Saccharomyces cerevisiae S288C: one gene and its partners. The gene in region 3 interacts genetically with the main gene of each other region. Each region holds a gene or a part of one and is shown on either strand. Other genes may lie near its edges.

Evidence for each region.
Region 1: mutations in ATP22 (region 3) and CCA1 together harm fitness more than expected from each alone (negative genetic interaction), as found in Saccharomyces cerevisiae (one large-scale study listed by BioGRID).
Region 2: mutations in ATP22 (region 3) and RCI50 together harm fitness more than expected from each alone (negative genetic interaction), as found in Saccharomyces cerevisiae (one large-scale study listed by BioGRID).
Region 4: mutations in ATP22 (region 3) and VTH1 together harm fitness more than expected from each alone (negative genetic interaction), as found in Saccharomyces cerevisiae (one large-scale study listed by BioGRID).

Annotation. Positions count from the first base shown.
Region 1 is NC_001137.3:520,471-524,598, forward strand, and holds CCA1 (tRNA adenylyltransferase), read right to left. Parts: upstream 2,200-4,128; coding exon 559-2,199; downstream 1-558. Other genes in the region: BCK2 (Bck2p), read left to right, coding at 1-301; RPH1 (Rph1p), read left to right, coding at 2,899-4,128. UniProt on the Saccharomyces cerevisiae protein: Nucleotidyltransferase that catalyzes the addition and repair of the essential 3'-terminal CCA sequence in tRNAs, which is necessary for the attachment of amino acids to the 3' terminus of tRNA molecules, using CTP and ATP as substrates. tRNA 3'-terminal CCA addition is required both for tRNA processing and repair.
Region 2 is NC_001143.9:191,125-195,040, reverse strand, and holds RCI50 (Rci50p), read left to right. Parts: upstream 1-1,970; coding exon 1,971-3,362; downstream 3,363-3,916. Other genes in the region: RMA1 (putative tetrahydrofolate synthase), read left to right, coding at 175-1,467; OCT1 (metalloendopeptidase), read left to right, coding at 3,599-3,916.
Region 3 is NC_001136.10:1,175,583-1,179,917, forward strand, and holds ATP22 (Atp22p), read right to left. Parts: upstream 2,593-4,335; coding exon 538-2,592; downstream 1-537. Other genes in the region: SBE2 (Sbe2p), read left to right, coding at 3,084-4,335. UniProt on the Saccharomyces cerevisiae protein: Translation factor specific for subunit 6 of the mitochondrial ATPase. Required for assembly of the CF(0) component of the ATPase.
Region 4 is NC_001141.2:9,951-16,665, forward strand, and holds VTH1 (signal sequence-binding protein), read left to right. Parts: upstream 1-1,541; coding exon 1,542-6,191; downstream 6,192-6,715. UniProt on the Saccharomyces cerevisiae protein: Functions as a sorting receptor in the Golgi compartment required for the intracellular sorting and delivery of soluble vacuolar proteins, like carboxypeptidase Y (CPY) and proteinase A.

The DNA of each region.
Region 1 (4,128 bases), on a different chromosome or scaffold from region 3:
TGAGATGGGCCACAGCAATAACAACAGCAACAGCGCCATCAACATGAATGAACCCAAGTCTGCGGATACATACATTGGAAATATATCTCCGGATACTTCAGCAACTGTTTCATTAGGCGACCTGATGGGCTCAAACGTTTCAAACAACAGTGAAAGAAATTTTTACGATGGTCATACTTTCGTTCCACAGTATCAGGCGAACTCATCTGTGGAAAACTCAAATAATCAAAATGCAGCACCAATTGCAAATAACGACATTGATAATAATTTACAGTCTTTTTATTTTGATAATAGCAACTAAAAAAGGAATGAAAAAAAAAAAAAAAAGTTCAAAAATAGTAACAGATATCTTTCGAAAAAGTTAAAAACTGGTAAAAAATTTTGAATAGAGTATATAAAAACTAATAAATATGTTTAGTTATCATACACCATAGAATAACTACTAGAGATATTATTTCATTTTCGTTTTCATTTTTTTTATTTTTTTCTTTTCAATAAGGTAACAGAAAGTTATTTATGCATTCTTGTTCTACATGTCTTATGTATACTAATAAGCTACTACAGGTATTTTGGTAGTATGGCTTTTAAATGAGTTATTAATTCTTGATCAGTCCCTGTAGGATTATCAAACTGCCACCTAATCGCTTCGTTATTAATTTTACCCAGCCATGGACCTGGCTTCATTTGAAGTAGTTTTGCCATTTGTTTTCCGTCCACTATTGGTTTTAGTTCATGACAATTATTCAAATTATTGTCAAATATGTAAGAATAAAATTCATTGTAATTTTGGAAAAGTAATTCAATTTTTTTAGTTTCAAGCTTGGGAATCTTTAAAAATGCATCTGATAGAGATGCAAAATGTGCTGTTTCCCATTCGCCATTAAAGTTCCGTAGAAATATACCGATTTCGGATTTTTTTAGCTGGGAACGATCTGCAAACTTAGCAAGTATTTCCTCATATGAACATATTGAATCTACGGTCTTGGCAATAACTGCTGCATCATTTTTACTCAGCTTCAATCCTTCCTTCACAATGCTTTCTGTCACCGAAACCAGGTTGTTAATTTTCTTCTTTGGGTTCCCGATTATTTGTAAATTAGCCATGGGGGACAGGATCGCACTCAATATAAAATTTTGCTGAAATCCTGGCGAACGACCAATTTTTTCCCTTAAGATAGGAAGCTTCTCTAAAAACATTGGATATAATTCAATAAAACTTTTCAAGTGTGAGTTTAGTATGTTATCATTGTATACATGATTAATTTTGTCCATATCTTGACAATTCTCTTCGTTGAATTTTACGACGGAGCTATCATTATGCCAAAAAAAGATAACATTTTCAAGATGAGCCCTTTGAATCAGCTGCAAAGCCAATAAAGGGGTTGGTCCTACTAATATTTTCTCCATCTCCACACCAACTCGCTCTCTAGAAATTTTTGAATTGAATGCAACATTAATCTGAGGATCGCCCATTTCAGCCATCACTTCCGGATCTATGGTAAAGTTGAATCTAGAAGCAAAACGGATCAACCTCAAAACCCTCAAGGGATCATCCAAAAATGTTTGTTTTGCAGGAAGCGGAGTACGGAGAACGCCATCTTTTAGATCTTGCAGACCTCTCTTGGTGAAATCTTCCACTTCACCTTTATGAATGTTATAGAAAAGAGCGTTCAATGTAGCATCCCTTCTTAAAGCGTCTTCCTCGGGTGTGCCAAAGCACACTTTAGGTATCCTGGAAAGTTCAGTATACTTTTCAGATCTTAAATTGACAAAATCCACTTCAACGCCAAAGAGCTTAGTAGTGGCAGTTTCCAGATGCTTGGATTTCTCGGGATTCTTGTCAATCTTGTGGATATTATGAGGCTTGGCTCCATATTTGGCGTAATGTTGTTGCAAATACTCGTTCAAACCAGTAGCAAATTGCTCACCTGACATCACATTGATGGCAATATCCAAGTCGTGAGAACCTTGTCCCAGAAGCTTGTCACGCACCCATCCGCCCGTGATCCGAAGAGTCAATGGCTCAGGCTTATTGTGGTACTTTTGATTGTACAAGTCTGTATAATCGTTCAGCAAGTTACAGATGTTCTGTTCCACTTTGGTTAAGGTGATTTTGGGTGCATTTAGAACAAAATTAGAATTCGTCATCGTTTTCTGAGCAGCACTATTCATCAGTAGAGATATAGTAGACCGTAGCATACACAAAAAAAGCCCTTATAACCCACGGATACGAATTAATCTCGAGGGAAGCGTTGCGATGTATTATGTAGTTTCCTTTAGTACATTGTTAATATGGTAGATTTTTGCGATTCATTTTTCAACTTTTCAACCCTAACGAATGTTTTTTAGGGCTGAGTAACGACAAGAACACAACCCTAAAAATCAGATGACCTAAGGGTTTGGTGAATCGAGAAAGTATGCCCTATTTCCCCCGCCCATACACCCCATAAGCCTTAACCGCAGCCCTCCTCTCCCCTAAACGTTTCTTTTTCTTTTTCCATTTTTTTTTTTTTTTTAGTTTTACTTTCTTTTTATTCGGAAAAATCTTTTCTATATTTTTCAAGGGTAACCTCATCGCCATGCAATTAATCACATAGACTCCTTAAGTAACAATGGCAAGGCGATAATTTTAAGAGAATTGCAGACGCTGTACATAGATCGTTATCAGCAAAACATATATTCGCATCGAAGGCGTTGCTTGTCCCTGAAGTAGCTACTTGCGGTTTTCATCAAGCGGCCAATTTAATCATTCTATCAGCATTATTTTAAAATAGGGGGACTTAACCTTTCTATTAGTACCACTTATTTTATAGATCTGCTGGAGAAAAATAAACAGATAAAAAAAAGGGAAAAAAAGAATAAGACTGTCTTGGTGAGGATATTCAGTTGCGTGAAATCATGACGAAACTAATCGCTCCTTCAGAAATCGTGGGCGGAGTGCCCGTCTTCAAACCCACATACGAGCAATTCGAAGATTTCTATGCATACTGCAAGGCCATAAACAAATATGGCATGAAAAGTGGTGTTGTGAAAGTAATCCCACCTAAAGAATGGAAAGACAAATTAGATCTGCCTTATTCTGCGGAAACGCTCCAAAAGATCAAGATTAAATCACCTATTCAGCAGCATATTTCTGGTAATAAAGGTCTTTTTATGGTGCAGAACGTGGAGAAAAACAAGACCTATAACATTATACAGTGGAAAGATCTTTCTAAGGACTATGTGCCTCCGGAGGATCCTAAAGCAAGACGTAATTCTAGGAAAGGCTCCGTTTCCAAATCCACGAAGTTGAAACTGAAAAATTTTGAATCGTCTTTTAATATTGATGATTTTGAACAGTTCAGGACGGAGTATACAATAGATTTATCTGACTTCCAAAATACGGAGAGATTAAAGTTCTTGGAAGAGTATTATTGGAAAACGCTAAATTTTACTACGCCTATGTACGGCGCAGATACACCAGGATCAATCTTTCCTGAAGGGCTGAACGTTTGGAATGTTGCCAAACTACCGAACATCTTGGACCATATGGAAACAAAGGTTCCTGGGGTGAATGACTCCTATCTATACGCTGGTCTATGGAAGGCTTCTTTTTCTTGGCACTTGGAAGATCAGGACCTGTATTCCATAAATTATATTCATTTCGGTGCCCCAAAACAGTGGTATTCGATACCGCAAGAGGATAGGTTCAAATTCTACAAATTCATGCAGGAGCAATTTCCCGAAGAAGCCAAAAATTGTCCTGAATTTTTAAGACATAAAATGTTTTTGGCTTCGCCCAAACTGCTGCAGGAAAATGGCATACGATGCAATGAAATTGTCCACCATGAAGGCGAATTCATGATCACTTATCCCTATGGTTACCATGCAGGGTTCAATTATGGATATAACTTGGCAGAATCCGTCAACTTTGCTTTGGAGGAGTGGCTACCGATTGGGAAGAAAGCTGGAAAATGCCACTGCATTTCAGACTCAGTGGAAATAGATGTTAAGAAACTCGCTAAATCTTGGAGGGACAATAATAAAGAGTCGAAAGGAACGCCACCCCTCAATCAATTACCCAATCCTGCCATGCCCTTACTTCACAGGCCAACTTTAAAAGAAATGGAAAGCAGCTCGCTTAGATCT
Region 2 (3,916 bases), on a different chromosome or scaffold from region 3:
GCCTAAAATGAAGCCTCCTCTGATGTGGGAGGGACCCCAATTTAGGTCAATAATGATTTTTTAAATTTATATTCTTGTCTTAATGAAACTTGAGTCAAGTCGACCAGTTTCCTGACGATTTTGATATAGAATAATATTGCTCGTTTGGCCGGCAACAGATTACATAAGAAGCAGATGGATGATATAAGCGGAAGGCAAACTTTACCTCGAATAAACCGTTTGTTGGAGCACGTGGGAAATCCCCAAGATAGTTTGTCAATCCTACATATAGCGGGAACAAATGGTAAGGAGACAGTATCTAAATTTTTGACATCCATATTGCAGCATCCGGGGCAACAGCGGCAAAGGGTCTTGATTGGTAGGTATACTACATCTTCCTTGCTAAACGCCAAAGAAGAGGATATTAGCATTAATAATGAAGCCATTTCCTTGATAGAGTATTCTAGGATCGAGAAGGAACTTATAGAAGCAGATAGTTCTTTGAAATTACAGTGCAACAACCTCGAACTGCTAACAAGCGTAGCTCTCGTATACTTCGCTAAGAAAAATTGCCAATGGTGCATAATAGAAACTGGTTTAGCTGGAAAACAGGACCCTGGAAGTATAATTGCTGGTCAAAGTAGAGTCTGTTGCGCCATTACTAACGTGGGCATTAGCGATGAAGCTTTTTTATGCAAGTTTTTGTCTCAAATTACTGAAAGTTCCACAAATAAAGCAATTTTTCTATTAGACGGTTCTAATGACGAATTTGTACGAAATACGATAACGAAACGGTGCCATGATGTTGGATGTCCATTAGAAATCACCGACCCTTCTCTTAGGGATTACAATGTACACACAGACACATGGGGCACTCTTGAAGTTCGCCTGCCATACAGTGAAGAAGAATATCAAATATTTAATTTGAGAGTTGCGATAGCGGTTTTAGACTTTTTGAGCAAGGAAAAAAAGGTTTGTATTTCAAAGGATCAACTATCCCAAGGTTTAATATCTGTGGATTGGCCAAGAAGTTTACATCGCTTGGATTACTGTTATGAATCTACTAGTGGAAAGAAAATCGCATTACTATTAGACAACGCAAATAATGCGAAGGCAGCTCGAAATTTAGCCTGCCATTTAAGGACCACGTACGGTGATACGCCATTAACATTTGTCATTGCTATAACAACTGGGAAAAAGGTGTCTCCCTTACTTGATCCGCTAATACGTCCACAAGATTATGTTATTGTGACTAGATTTGGGTCAGTGGTTGGAATGCCGTGGATCCAATCCCTAGAACCGGTGAATCTTCTCGCATTTATCAAAAACCGGTATACGAGAAATGTTAACATGCAGCCGGATCTTCAAAGTGTCTGGACCTTCCTTGAAACAAGTGGGTTAAAGACGATTGTTCCTGTTATCGTATGTGGATCACTGTATATCTGCAAAGAGCTATTGCGCTTACACAACTGTCACTTGCCAGTATAGTTTTTAGATATATGATCATATCCTACAATGCAATTACCGATATTGATAGAGGACCAGTCTGCCAAGGGCATCCGGGGATATATCATATTTTCCTTCTTTTATAACGGCATGTAACTTTACTTTTACTTTAAACTATGGCATTACATTCCAGCTTTTCAAGAGTTATTAGTGATTCATTACTTATAAAGTTTTTCCGACCACATTTTGATACTTTGTACCTGATATAGATAAAACAATTACCTTATAAATTGATTCTCTCATATTTATCTTGATGAGAAAACGATTGAGGAGATTTGTGTGTAATTTGGTTCTCGTAACAAATACCATTAAATAATCCTTGACTAGTAATACATACCAAACAAAGAACGATTTGCGGATACTCAGCCGCACGAAAATTTCTAAAATTGAACTAAATCCTTTAGGATATATAAAAGGGCACAAAGTGAGAACGTAAAAACAGCATTATAAAGATATTGTAATGAAGAAATTTATGCTCATTTAGTATGTGGAAATACCTTCATAGATCAGTCAAAAATGAAGGGACCGTAGAACGGCTCACTAACCTCAACTTATTTACCAATCACCGTTTCAAGTTTTATTCTACATTAAAGGAACAAAGTTTTTGGAGAATACCATTCAAAAGAAGGAGCAAATTACAGAAATGGGTGTTATCGACAGGCATCGTAAGTTTCATCGCTTTTAACATATGGTGGGTTTATTGGCCACATCATACTTTTCCCAAACCCGTTGCTAAAATATTAAGGAAGGGGTTACATTCAGAAATTAAGAAAGAAGGTGCGAACTACCAAAAAAGCCTTGAGTACTACCTCGAAGCTTTAGAAGAATGTAAAGCCGAAAACGTGGATCTACTTTCGGATGAATATACCGGTATTGAAATCAAAATCGGAGAAATGTATGAGAAATTACATATGTATAATGATGCTACAGCTTTATATGGAGACATGCTGAAAAAGTTCTATAATGAACTAAGCAAAACTACTGATAAGTCAACGAAGAGAAAATTCTTTTTGTTGAAAAGAGACCTTCAAATTTTGGTAAGGTTCAATGAAATAAATAAAGACTCTGAAACTAATGCAACGTTATTGATAATGCACCTTTTATTAGCTCAACGAGAATTTTTGGAGAACTCACCGGAGTTCAAAAATGTTCTTTCCAAATCAGAACTTTTAAACAACCAACAGCTTGACTGGAAGAATTTCAAGGGTCTACCATTTATTGGTAAATCCAAACCTGACTACCAAATGCATTTAAACTCTAAAAGAAAACAGGAGTTGAAGATAAAGGAACCTGAAAGCGAACAATGCGTTTTCATGAAAGAACTTCTGACTGCAAGAGATTTATATACTCGTTACTGTCTCAATCGGAGTAATCTTTCTGGGGCCTTGAATAGCAAAATAACAACACTAGAATGGATGTTACTAGCGGATAGTCCTCTGGACGACATCTTGCTTGCCCAGGCAGAGCTCGGGTCGATTTTTTATCTAAATTCAGAGAAGTTCGAAGGAAGTCTATACGCTATTGATAATGAACCGTACAAAAAATCAGAACCTTTAGAACTTATTCGGTCCAGGTTACAAGAAAACCAGAATTCCTGCTTACAGTACTCGGCTGACTGCTATAAAAGTATTATCAGCTTTGCCAATGAAAATCAATATCCAAAAGTTGCAATGGAAAGCGAAATGGATCAGAGAATACTTAAGGCATTATCCCTTGCTCACTACGGTATTGGTGTGATAAATTTGCATAAGGGACGCTTGAGGGCATCTAAGAAGGAACTTAAAAAGGCTATTCGTATTTCAGAGATGATTAGATTTAATGAACTCATTGAGGAAGCTCAACGTGAACTTAAAAAGGTTGATGGTACGCCTATATAAATCTTACATTTGTATATATATTCTTCTAAATTTTCATCAATATGTTGAAATGCCGAAAGATGTCGATTCCTCATTGGATATGGCGAATTTTACGTCACCGCCTCATGAACAAAAGTGAGAAAAATACATATATAGCGTCAAAATCAAAACAAATGATGAATTTACTTGCAAAGACTAAATGTGTAAGGGAATAGGTATCAGAACATTAAGTGAAGGCGCCGAAAGTAATATCAGTAATGCTTCGCACGATAATATTGAAAGCCGGGTCCAATGCCTCCATACCGTCACCTTCCCGCCAAAATAAGTTACTCAGGTTCTTCGCCACAGCCGGCGCAGTCTCTAGGACCAGTCCAGGAAGCATTAAGAAGATTTTCGACGACAATTCATATTGGAGAAATATTAATGGTCAGGATGCTAATAATAGCAAGATCTCACAATATCTTTTTAAAAAAAATAAAACCGGACTTTTCAAGAACCCTTATTTGACTTCTCCAGATGGTTTGCGTAAGTTTAGCCAGGTTTCTTTGCAGCAAGCACAAGAACTTCTCGACAAA
Region 3 (4,335 bases):
CTAATATTATAGCCTTTATCAACAATGGAATCCCAACAAGTCTCTCAAAATACACCCATTTCTCATAAACCAATTGTTCAGGCATTTATACGTTTAGATAGCCCAGCTATAGAAGGCGGAGTTTTACCTCATGTTGCTCAATCTGTTCGTTTTCTTAGGTTTCATATGTGTTCTATGAACGTTCAGGATAATGTATTGTCATGCTGACGTATCCCATTCTGAGATGTAACGTCTGTACAAAACAAAGCTTCAGTAGCTCAGTAGGAAGAGCGTCAGTCTCATAATCTGAAGGTCGAGAGTTCGAACCTCCCCTGGAGCATTTTTGCCGAGCACGGTACTTTTTTTTATTCTCAGTAAATGAAATCCAAGGGCTCATTTATTTGAGAAAGTAAATAAGGTATTAGAGGTAATAAAGTAACCATGGGCCAAGAAGACATATTCATAAACTTATGAAAAAACTTTGTAGGTATTAATAACTTATGGGTAAATTACTATCTATGAATGAATATTTACTATTTACTAGTGCTCATCTGGATATTAATTTAGACTTTTCAACGTCTCTCTTATAATATTTGTACATTTATTAACATCATCATCATTAAATCTAGGCTTGCCATCTTCTTCGAACATATCTTCGTCAGTAAACAGGGTGCTATCAGTAGGTTCTTTAATGTTATTATTTTCCACCAATTCCGTCAGTAAAGTTTCGTCAAAGTTTTTGGGAAACGGCCAGCCTTGGTCTTTTATTATCTGTATCAAAGCCATATGCCTGATTTCAAAGCCCCCGAAGAGTATCTTATTGTACCAGGAGCGTGCTCCTTTTTCGTCTCTCATTTTGACATAATGCATTACCATTGCAGAACAAAATTTAAACGTTAAAGGCACCCCATTTTTATGCATCACCTGTAGCAATTCTGATAGTTCAGCCTGCGTTAATGTATGATTTTTATAGGCTACTATGGAAAAGGGACATAGCGTGGTAGTTAAAACCACTTTTTTGGCGAAAGGTTGAGAATAAAAATCCAGAAGAACATTGTAGGCCAGCCTTGGTTCACGAGCTTGGAATCTAATATAATTTAGGAAAACATTGAGGATTCCGGTATCATTTCTCCAATACCTGTATTTATGAGCTTCCTCGGAAAGAAAACTCTTGTACTTGTAATATAAATCAAGAAGACAATTCTTGAATTGACCACTTTCCAGTGAAACAGAACTCGAAGATAAAAGGCTTCTATACAGTTCAGTTAAAATTGGAACAGTCACTGGTGATCCTATTCGCATTGTGTTCGGTAGAATATTATTTTTGTTCTTCAGCTCTCTTGCTAACGTAGGAGCTGTCAAAGTCGTTGATTTTGAATGATAGAGCCACCCCCAAATCCCTAGGGCATTCAGAATATTAGCAGACGCCTTTGAGCTGTATGATGAGAGGAGATATTTACACACCAATTTCGGGTCACGAAAGGCTTGAAAAGATGCAATTAATTCACCCATTAAAAACTCCTTGAACAATTTATATTTCATCAGTGGGCTGCTTTGTAAGCAGGAAATTACATTGAAAAGCTCCTCCTGCCTATTAGATATTCGGAGCAGATTCAAGTAGTGGTGAATGGGAAAATTCAATATGTGTTCGTTTCCATCAATGTGATTAAGCAATCCTGAGCTTACAATGAATTTCAGTTCCTCTTGAAAGGTTTTGATGAATAACTCAACATTTCCACTTTTCAAAAGGTAATAAAGTAAGGTATTGTTGAACTTGACATAACGCAGGTTCTTTTGCTTTGCTCCATCTTTACCAGAATAACAGTGCTGTTCCAACTTCTGTAGTAGAGCTTGAATAAATACTTTAATGAACCTAAAATTTTTCGCCTTAACAAGGCCATTTACTAGAGCGATTAAGCTGTCAAATGTATGCAACTTCAGAACTTTTTCCATTATAAATTTTATGTTTGTCTCATCATGCAAAAATATTTGGAACGTGGCTAACTGCCTCTCCATCTCAGTTCCTTTTATCAGCCTATTGGTAAATCTCGTACAGTAGTTAGAAGTAAAGAGAAGAACATCACTTTTCAAAAGAAAAAGATAGTGATTAAAAGATTCTGATTTTGGAATATGATACCAGAACCATCTGTGGACCTCACCTGGTAGATAAAATCCAATTTTTCTTGCCACCTCTGGGTATAACTCGTGTTGATGCAAAATGATATCATATAAAAGTTTCTTCTTTTCATTTTCTGAGCAATTATTTATATGCAGGGCATTTCGTAGAGATTCAAAAAAAGAGGCGTATTCAGTTACTCCAAAAGTCTCACTTAATACAGTTTTCAATTGTCGGAGCTCGTATAAACGCTTCTGAACATTTTTCGAAGATCCGCTCTTCCTAGAACATGGCACCTGTCGTTCAAAATCGCCAAACTGCAAAGGTTCTGAACGATTTGATTTAATTTTCAATGGACAGTTTTTCGTAGATAAATGGCGCAGATTTGTAATAGGTAGAATTGTGTATGTCCCTGCGCTACCCATATGTTTAAACAGCGGTGAAGTGACCATTTGAGCCAAAGGCTGGGAATAGACACGGCATATACATTTTAACATGCCAATAAGAACATTAAAGTGAACGCTTGGAAGATTTGAAAGCCCATTCTTGCCAGTACGCCAATAAAGTGTGTCGCGCAGAATAGATCTTCATGTAATTCCTTTTTCCCTTTTATGCAATCTATAATGTTAATCAGCGTAGATCACTATATACGCTTTTTTTTTTTTTTTTCAGCTCCGATTAGAGAGCAAAAGAGATGTAACATCGATCCTGCTATAATTAGAATACAAGTGTTGATCTTTAATTGTACTGTTTCTGCGAAAGCTATCGAGCATTTGGCTGTATTCCACTGTCCATTGTATTTTTAACTCTCCTTTTTATCATTCTGAAACATAGAGCTGTTTTGACAAAATTCAGTTTTTTCTCAATTAGTGCTTTCATTCATACGTTCGTTACAAGCTTTGAATTTTAACTTTATTTTCGGGCTTCCACCTTTGCTTCATTATTTTACTTCAGCTCTTTAGCTTTCTGTGACATTCAATTTTATTGTATGACAGCACGTCGTTTGATTAATATAGTTCCTAATACGTCTAAGCTAGACCCTTTAAAGGAGGAGGACTCAACGCATCTGAAACAAAATCAACCTAAGAAGTTTTCCACAAAGGAGTTGATGCTTTCAGAATATACCGAACGCAAAAGTTGCAGCCTTCCGTTGTCTAAATCCCGATCAGGCAGTAGTGCATCCAGTAGCACTACAGGTTCGAACGGAAAGAATATTGGAACAAGACGCCCTAGCTCCAACCTAGATTTCAATTTCGCTAGCCAAGATGTTGTTAAAAATGTATTAGGTAATAATAATCCACACGTACCCACAGCGAAGTGCATTAGGCCAATATCAGATGATTCTATAGGTACATCGAGCACAGAGATATTTTCTTCATCGCACTCAAATACGACATCTGATTCTTTATGTACATCAGATATAAGCTCAGAAGAGGGTGAAATAGCAAACAGTAAGATGGAGGATAACTGCTTCTTCAAAAGTATGAGAGAAGCTGACCATAGAAGCAATATTACGCCCTTAAAGAAAAGCCGACCGGGATCAATACTACAGAAAACACGTACAGCAAGTAGCGCTGATAAAACAATCTGCTCAATGAGTACCATAACTACATGCATTCCATCTCGTCAAAATTCGGTGTCAACTCCTAAACTCTCCAGGACAGTAGGGCTGCCTGGATCGAGCAATACAACCAACAGTATAGCCGCATCACAAACTTCATTCATAAGCGAGAATGACTCTCCTCTTAAACATCATTGCATGAGTACCGCAACTATCCAAGAACCAAAACTCATGCCGATCACAAAAACGCCGTATGTGCATTCCAATAGTACTTCTGTAATATTACCATATAAAACAACCCAACTTACTCCTTCTCAACGTTACCGTTTAAGGAAAGAGCAAAATGACCAATCTTTGCGTAAAGCCATAAAAATGAAAGAAAAATTTTATGAAGATCAAGACGTTAACTTGGAACTTCAAGAGGGCGATGTCGACGGCTCGTTAATTTGGAACATTCCAATGGCATCTTTATCGACCAGTTCTTTTTTAACATTATCTAAGTTTAATAGAAAAGAAATGAGTTTAGATTCAGCGCGGGGGGATGAAGAGATATTAATACAGGAGAACAATTGCGAAGGCAAACAACACTCATCTTCGGCTCTCTGTGTGGACAAAACTTTCCATCAGGTTCATAGTACTAGAAAACATACATCAAATTCAAGTAACACTTTAAAAGAAT
Region 4 (6,715 bases), on a different chromosome or scaffold from region 3:
TATTCTATTCTAAAAACGTTTTCTAGGAAAAATATATTAATAGTTGATACTCCTTGTAATTTCTAAGTCAAAAGAAATGTCTCTATCTTTATCGTAACGGCTCATCGTTAGAGCTCAATTGTGCCTCTTGGATGTATTTCCAAAGTTCCACGTTTAATAACCCAGCCAACACAGATTCCTTTGAGAACAAATGGCTACCAAAGTTTCATTCAAATAAGCCTGACAATCAACCCCATCAAAGAGGAGCTCTTTGTTTTTCCAAACCCATGAGAAAAAAATACAGTTCCTTTTCCATACCAAAAAATGAAGAAGAAATCATGTGCTGAGAGTTGCCTGCAGTCGTAGAAGTTTACGATCCTAACCCATTATGTGATTCGTTGTGAGTCACCCTTCCATGATTATGTGTCCTTACTACCTACTATCCAATTACTACATATGTTTTGAACTCATATGTACCAAGCACCTAAAATTACGCACCCATTTCCATTGGCAAAGACTTGACGAAATTTAATACACTGCAATAATATCCAGCGATACTCTTCAAGAATTCCCGCCTATAATGGCGGCTCGCTGTCCGAAAGATTGCGCCGCACTTGACTGCTTCTTACACTCCTTTTTCCCAGGCGATAAACAGACTAAGCGGAAACTACGATATAATGCAGTAGAGGTCCCCCAAGAGCTGGAAAGAAAATATTAGTTTGATAGCCAGCACTATTCCATCCAGTGGGTTCTTGTACCATTTTCTGTGGTATGGCTTTGATTCAACTGCATACGTAGTTAACGCGATCAGCCGCACATGTCCATTATCATTTTCAGGGGTACTGGTAAACCCTATTGTTTAGAAAGAATATCTGGTAAGCGGGTCTGTCGAGTCTTCACTTCCTTCATACACATTTTATTGAGTAAATTATACTTAGATCCGGAATCATAACGTTGGAAAAGGAGACAAGGTTGGATAAGTTATGTAGGCGTATTTCAATAAGACGTATATGATTTAGTCTAAGAAACCGACGTATCTAGCCAGCATTCGCACTATGACGACAGTTTAACGTCGTATTGAGCAGCATCAACTGAATATAATGAAAAAAAAAAAATCATTCCTTGAAATTCGTTCTTCCGAAAACTGCTCAAGGTGATAGCACCTCAAGAACAATTCTTCGTTTGAATTTATTATCAAATTCATCACCGTCAGAGTTATAAGTTGCACTGTATTCCTGGTGACCCTAGTAACCCAAAATACCATTTTCTGATTTTGCAATCATATTTATTGGCTTTAGCGAACATATGATCACCATACTATCTTGATGGTTGACCAAGAAGCGAACATCTTCGAACCAAAGTCACCGAATCTCAAGGAATGCAAAATTCGTGGCTCAGTGCTCTCAAGACAATGTTGCAACCCTTTGCGTCAATTATATATATATATATATATATATATATATCCCGTCCGCTTTCTTTTTTTTGTCAGTTGGGTCGCAACGCAGGGTCTCGAGACCTGAAAAAAGCTTCATAGCGATATTAAAGGTAGAGGTACACCCATAATGGCATTGTTTCGTGCCCTGTATATTATTTGGGTATTCCTACTCATTCCACTGTCCAATGCAGAAGAATTCACCCCCAAGGTTACCAGAACTTTGTCAAGATATGTATTCGATATAGTAAACTTTGATGATTCAAACACTTTGATCAGAGCAGAAGAAGACTCTGTCGAGATAAGTTTTGATGCTGGAGAAAATTGGAAAACAATAGATGAGATTGAAGAGCCTATCGAGTCATTTGTTGTTGATCCCTTCCGTGGGCATGATAGAGCTTTTGCTTTCGTGAAAACGGCACCAAAATTTTACGTCACGGATGATCAAGGTAAATCGTGGAGGCCTTTGACTATACCCATTTCTGAGAAAGCATCGAATTATTTTTGCGACGTAACTACTCACCCTATAAAAAAGAAGCATCTTATTATTCGTTGTGATTTGTTGACAATAAAAAACTCAGGCTTAATGTATGTTGGAAGAGAGATTTACACAACTAATGATGGAGTATCCTTTTCCCAAGTTAAACCTTCTTTTGGAAAAATTGATGGTCATATTAGCACGGCACGCTGTGACTTTATTAAATCTAGTGAGGATTCTGATCTGGGCGGTAATGATGCTTCGATACTCTGTCTTTTCCGAAACACTGAGTACATTGAAAGTACAGGCTCAACTATTGACAAGTCTGAATTGATTTTAAGTGCCGATGGAGGTGAAACATTCAAAGAATTAGTCCAGTTCAAAGATAAGGTTGTTAGTCGATACGAGATACTTAAGCATCATGTGATCGTTTTGACACAAGATGATATGTATAATGAAATGTCATCAACAAACATTTGGATATCCAATGATGTATCCACTTTTCAAGTGGCTCGTACACCTACTAAGATACGGCACGTTAATATGGGACAAATTCATGAAGATTCCATCGGAAGAATCGTTTTACCTGTATCTAGAGAAAGAGATGATGAAGACAGCAACCAACCGGGAGCTGCTGAAGTGTTAATATCAGATTCTGAAGGACTAAAATTTTTGCCTATAAATTGGATACCAAACAATCAGTTTGGATATATCAATGTAGCTTATCCAGGTTTCTTAAAAGGAACATTTTTTGGTTCGTTTCATCCCTTCATTGAATATTCTGATAGAAAAAGGAAATACAGCCGACAGAAAGTAAGAGAGGAAACTAAAGTATCTGTTGATAACGGTCTCACATGGACAAACTTGAAAGTTGTTGACCGGGAAAATGTAGATTTATTTGGTTGTGATGTCACTAAACCCGAGAGATGTTCGCTTCAGACTCATTTCTATGATCTAAGAAATTTAAATCCCTCTGCCGGAATCATGATGATATCGGGTATTGTTGGCGACGGCAGTGCATACAATTGGAAAGAAGAAAAAACTTTCATCTCCAGGGATAGTGGTTTAACATGGAGGTTAGTCCATAATTCCACTGGTTTATATACTACTGGTGATCTGGGAAATATTATCATGTATATTCCATATCGTTCGAATGAAAATGGCGATGTGCCTTCTAAATTTTATTATTCCTTGGATCAAGGTAAGACATGGGGTGAATATGATCTAATCATGCCTATTTATCCATACAGATTAGTCAGCACAATATCAGATGGATCTGGTTCAAAATTTATTCTAACAGGAACGTCCATTACAGAAGATCCAATATTCATTACATATTCAATTGATTTTTCAGCGGTATTTGATTATAAATCATGTGAAGAGGGTGATTTTGAAGATTGGAATCTAGCAGATGGAAAATGTGTTAATGGCGCCAAATACAAGTACAGAAGGAGGAAACAGGACGCCCAGTGTTTGGTAAAAAAAGCATTCAAAGATTTGAGTTTAGATGAAACGCCTTGTAACAGTTGTACTGGATCCGACTACGAATGTTCGTTTGAATTCGTTAGAGATGCGAAGGGTGACTGTATACCAGATTATAATCTGATTGCCCTTTCCGATATATGTGACAAATCGAAGGGTAAATCTGTGTTAGTAAAGCCACTACAATTAATCAAAGGTGATAAATGTAAAACACCTATGAAAATTGAATCCGTAGACATTCCGTGTGACGAAATTCCAAAGGAGGGTTCGAGTGACAAGGAAATAGTGACTACTGAAAACAAATTCGACTTTGAAATTAAATTTTACCAATACTTCGATACAGTTGCCGACGAATCTTTGGTCATGCTGAATTCGATAGGAGACGCCTATATATCCCACGATGGTGGACAAACGATAAAAAGGTTTGACACTGACGGCGAAAAAATTGTCGAAATCGTGTTTAACCCATACTTCAATTCTTCAGCATATTTGTTTGGCTCTAAAGGTAACATATTCTTAACACACGATAGAGGATACTCTTTCATGATAGCTAAATTACCTGAAGCCAGGCAATTAGGCATGCCACTAGATTTTAGTGCTAAAGCACAGGATACTTTTATTTACTATGGTGGTAAGAATTGTGAATCAATTTTAAGTCCAGAATGTCATGCAGTGGCATACCTCACCAAAGATGGGGGTGAAACTTTTACAGAAATGCTTGATAATGCAATTCATTGTGAGTTTGCAGGAACACTATTCAAATATCCGTCAAATGACGATATGGTTATGTGCCAAGTAAAGGAAAAGTTTTCGCAAACAAGAAGTTTAGTTTCTTCTACTGACTTTTTCCAAGATGATAGAAAAACTGTCTTTGAAAACATTATCGGCTACTTGTCTACTGGTGGCTATATCATTGTTGCCGTACCTCATGAAGACAATGAATTGAGGGCGTATGTAACTAATGATGGTGCTGAGTTTACCGAGGCAAAATTCCCATATGATGAAGATATTGGTAAGCAAGACGCATTCACTATTTTAGGATCTGAGGAAGGATCAATATTTTTACATTTAGCAACAAACTTGGAATCAGGACACGATTTCGGAAACCTTTTGAAATCCAACTCGAATGGTACTTCTTTTGTCACCTTAGAGCATGCCGTTAATAGAAACACATTCGGTTATGTGGACTTTGAAAAAGTTCAAGGTCTTGAAGGTATTATTATCACCAACATCGTTTCGAATAGCGAAAAGGTTGGCGAGAACAAGGAAGACGAACAATTGAAGACGAAAATCACCTTCAATGACGGTTCAGATTGGAACTTTTTGAAGCCTCCAAAGAAGGATTCGGAAGGGAAAAAGTTTCCCTGTGATTCTGTGTCATTAGATAAATGTTCTCTACATTTGCATGGTTACACTGAACGTAAGGATATCAGGGATACATATTCCTCTGGCTCCGCGTTAGGAATGATGTTTGGTGTCGGAAATGTTGGCGATAGGCTTCTACCATATGAGGAGTGTTCCACTTTTCTAACCACTGATGGAGGAGAGACGTGGACTGAGGTTAAAAAAGGCCCCCATCAATGGGAGTACGGTGATCATGGTGGAGTCTTGGTTTTGGTCCCCGAAAACGCAGAAACTGATTCTATTTCTTACTCCACCGATTTTGGTAAAACATGGAAAGATTATAAATTCTGTGGCGACAAAGTCCTCGTAAAGGATATAATCACCGTTCCCAGAGATTCTGCTTTGAGGTTTTTGCTATTTGGAGAAGCAAAAAACATGGGTAGTGGTTCATTCAGAACGTATACAATTGATTTTAGAAACATCTTCGAGAGGCAATGTGAGTTTGATATTACCGGTAGAAAAAGGGCAGATTTTAAGTACTCTCCTCTGGGTTCCAGAACTGGTTGTTTGTTTGGCCATAAAACAGAATTTTTACGTAAAACCGATGAAAAATGTTTTATTGGGAATATTCCACTTTCTGAATTTTCGAGGAACGTCAAAAACTGTCCATGTACAAGACAAGATTTCGAATGTGACTATAATTTTTATAAAGCCAGTGATGGTACTTGTAAATTAGTCAAAGGCTTAAGTTCGGCGAATGGTGCCGATATCTGCAAAAAGGAACCCGACTTAATTGAATACTATGATTCCTCCGGCTATCGGAAAATTCCCTTATCAACCTGTAAAGGTGGGCTGAAATTGGATGCACATTTAGCACCACATCCTTGTCCGGGAAAAGAAAAGGCATTCAGGGAAAAATACTCTATAAACACCGGCGCTTATGCGCTGGTTTTTGTTACAATTCTTCTCGTTATTTTCTTTGTCGCATGGTTTGTATACGATAGAGGTATCAGGAGAAATGGGGGATTTTCAAGATTTGAAGAAATCAGATTAGGAGACGATGGGCTGATAGAAAACAATAGGACCGATAGAGTTGTCAACATCATTGTAAGACTAGGATTATGCATTTCTTTAATCACCAAGTCTGCGTTTCAACGCGCGAAGGCAGGTACAGCGCAACTTTCTTCAAAATTTAGGGCAAGGTTTGGCAACAAAAAAGGTGCCACTTACTCTTCGCTGCTTCATGATCAGCTTTCAGATGAACCAGATGGCTTCCATGAAGATTCCAACGATTTATCCAGTTTCAGAGGTCAAGGTAGTAATTCTGAAATTGAGCAAGAAGATGTTGACACATCTCAACAAGAGCATACGTTGCGGACAGACCTACTTGGTGCTAGCAATATTCCAGACGCTTTGCCAGCGCGTAGTGCTTCTCACGAGTCCGATTTAGCAGCTGCACGCAGCGAAGACAAGTAGGTAGGTCTTTTTAAACGAACGAAATTGTTCACGCATTGTATGTTGGGTTTCTTACATATCAATCACTCAGAAGCCCATTTTCTACCTCCATCACCGTACTTATAGAATTATTTTTCTTTCTTGACACAATATACTGTGGCTAGTTTAACATTTCGTGCCCTTTAAATATTTTTCATGGTGTGGACAGAACAACGTCAATTGTAAGGAGCATGGAGGTCAAATAAACAATACCTCAAACTAAATAATGAAGACCCCAAGAAGCCTTGCAATCGGCAGTAATTATATTCATGGTACTAATTGTCACTATTCGTCTACACTCTAGTAAAAGTTCTTGATGCAAATTTTTTTATTTTTATGTATGAGAACTGCCGAAAAAAAAGGTTTGGATATTAACTTTGTTAAATAAAATAATACAATCAATTCAAACTTTTTACTGTTTCTTTTTTCAGCTAACTATATCATACTATTGTACACAATTATTAATTACCACTTACATTAACTGTTATTCGCTACGCTTTAGAATA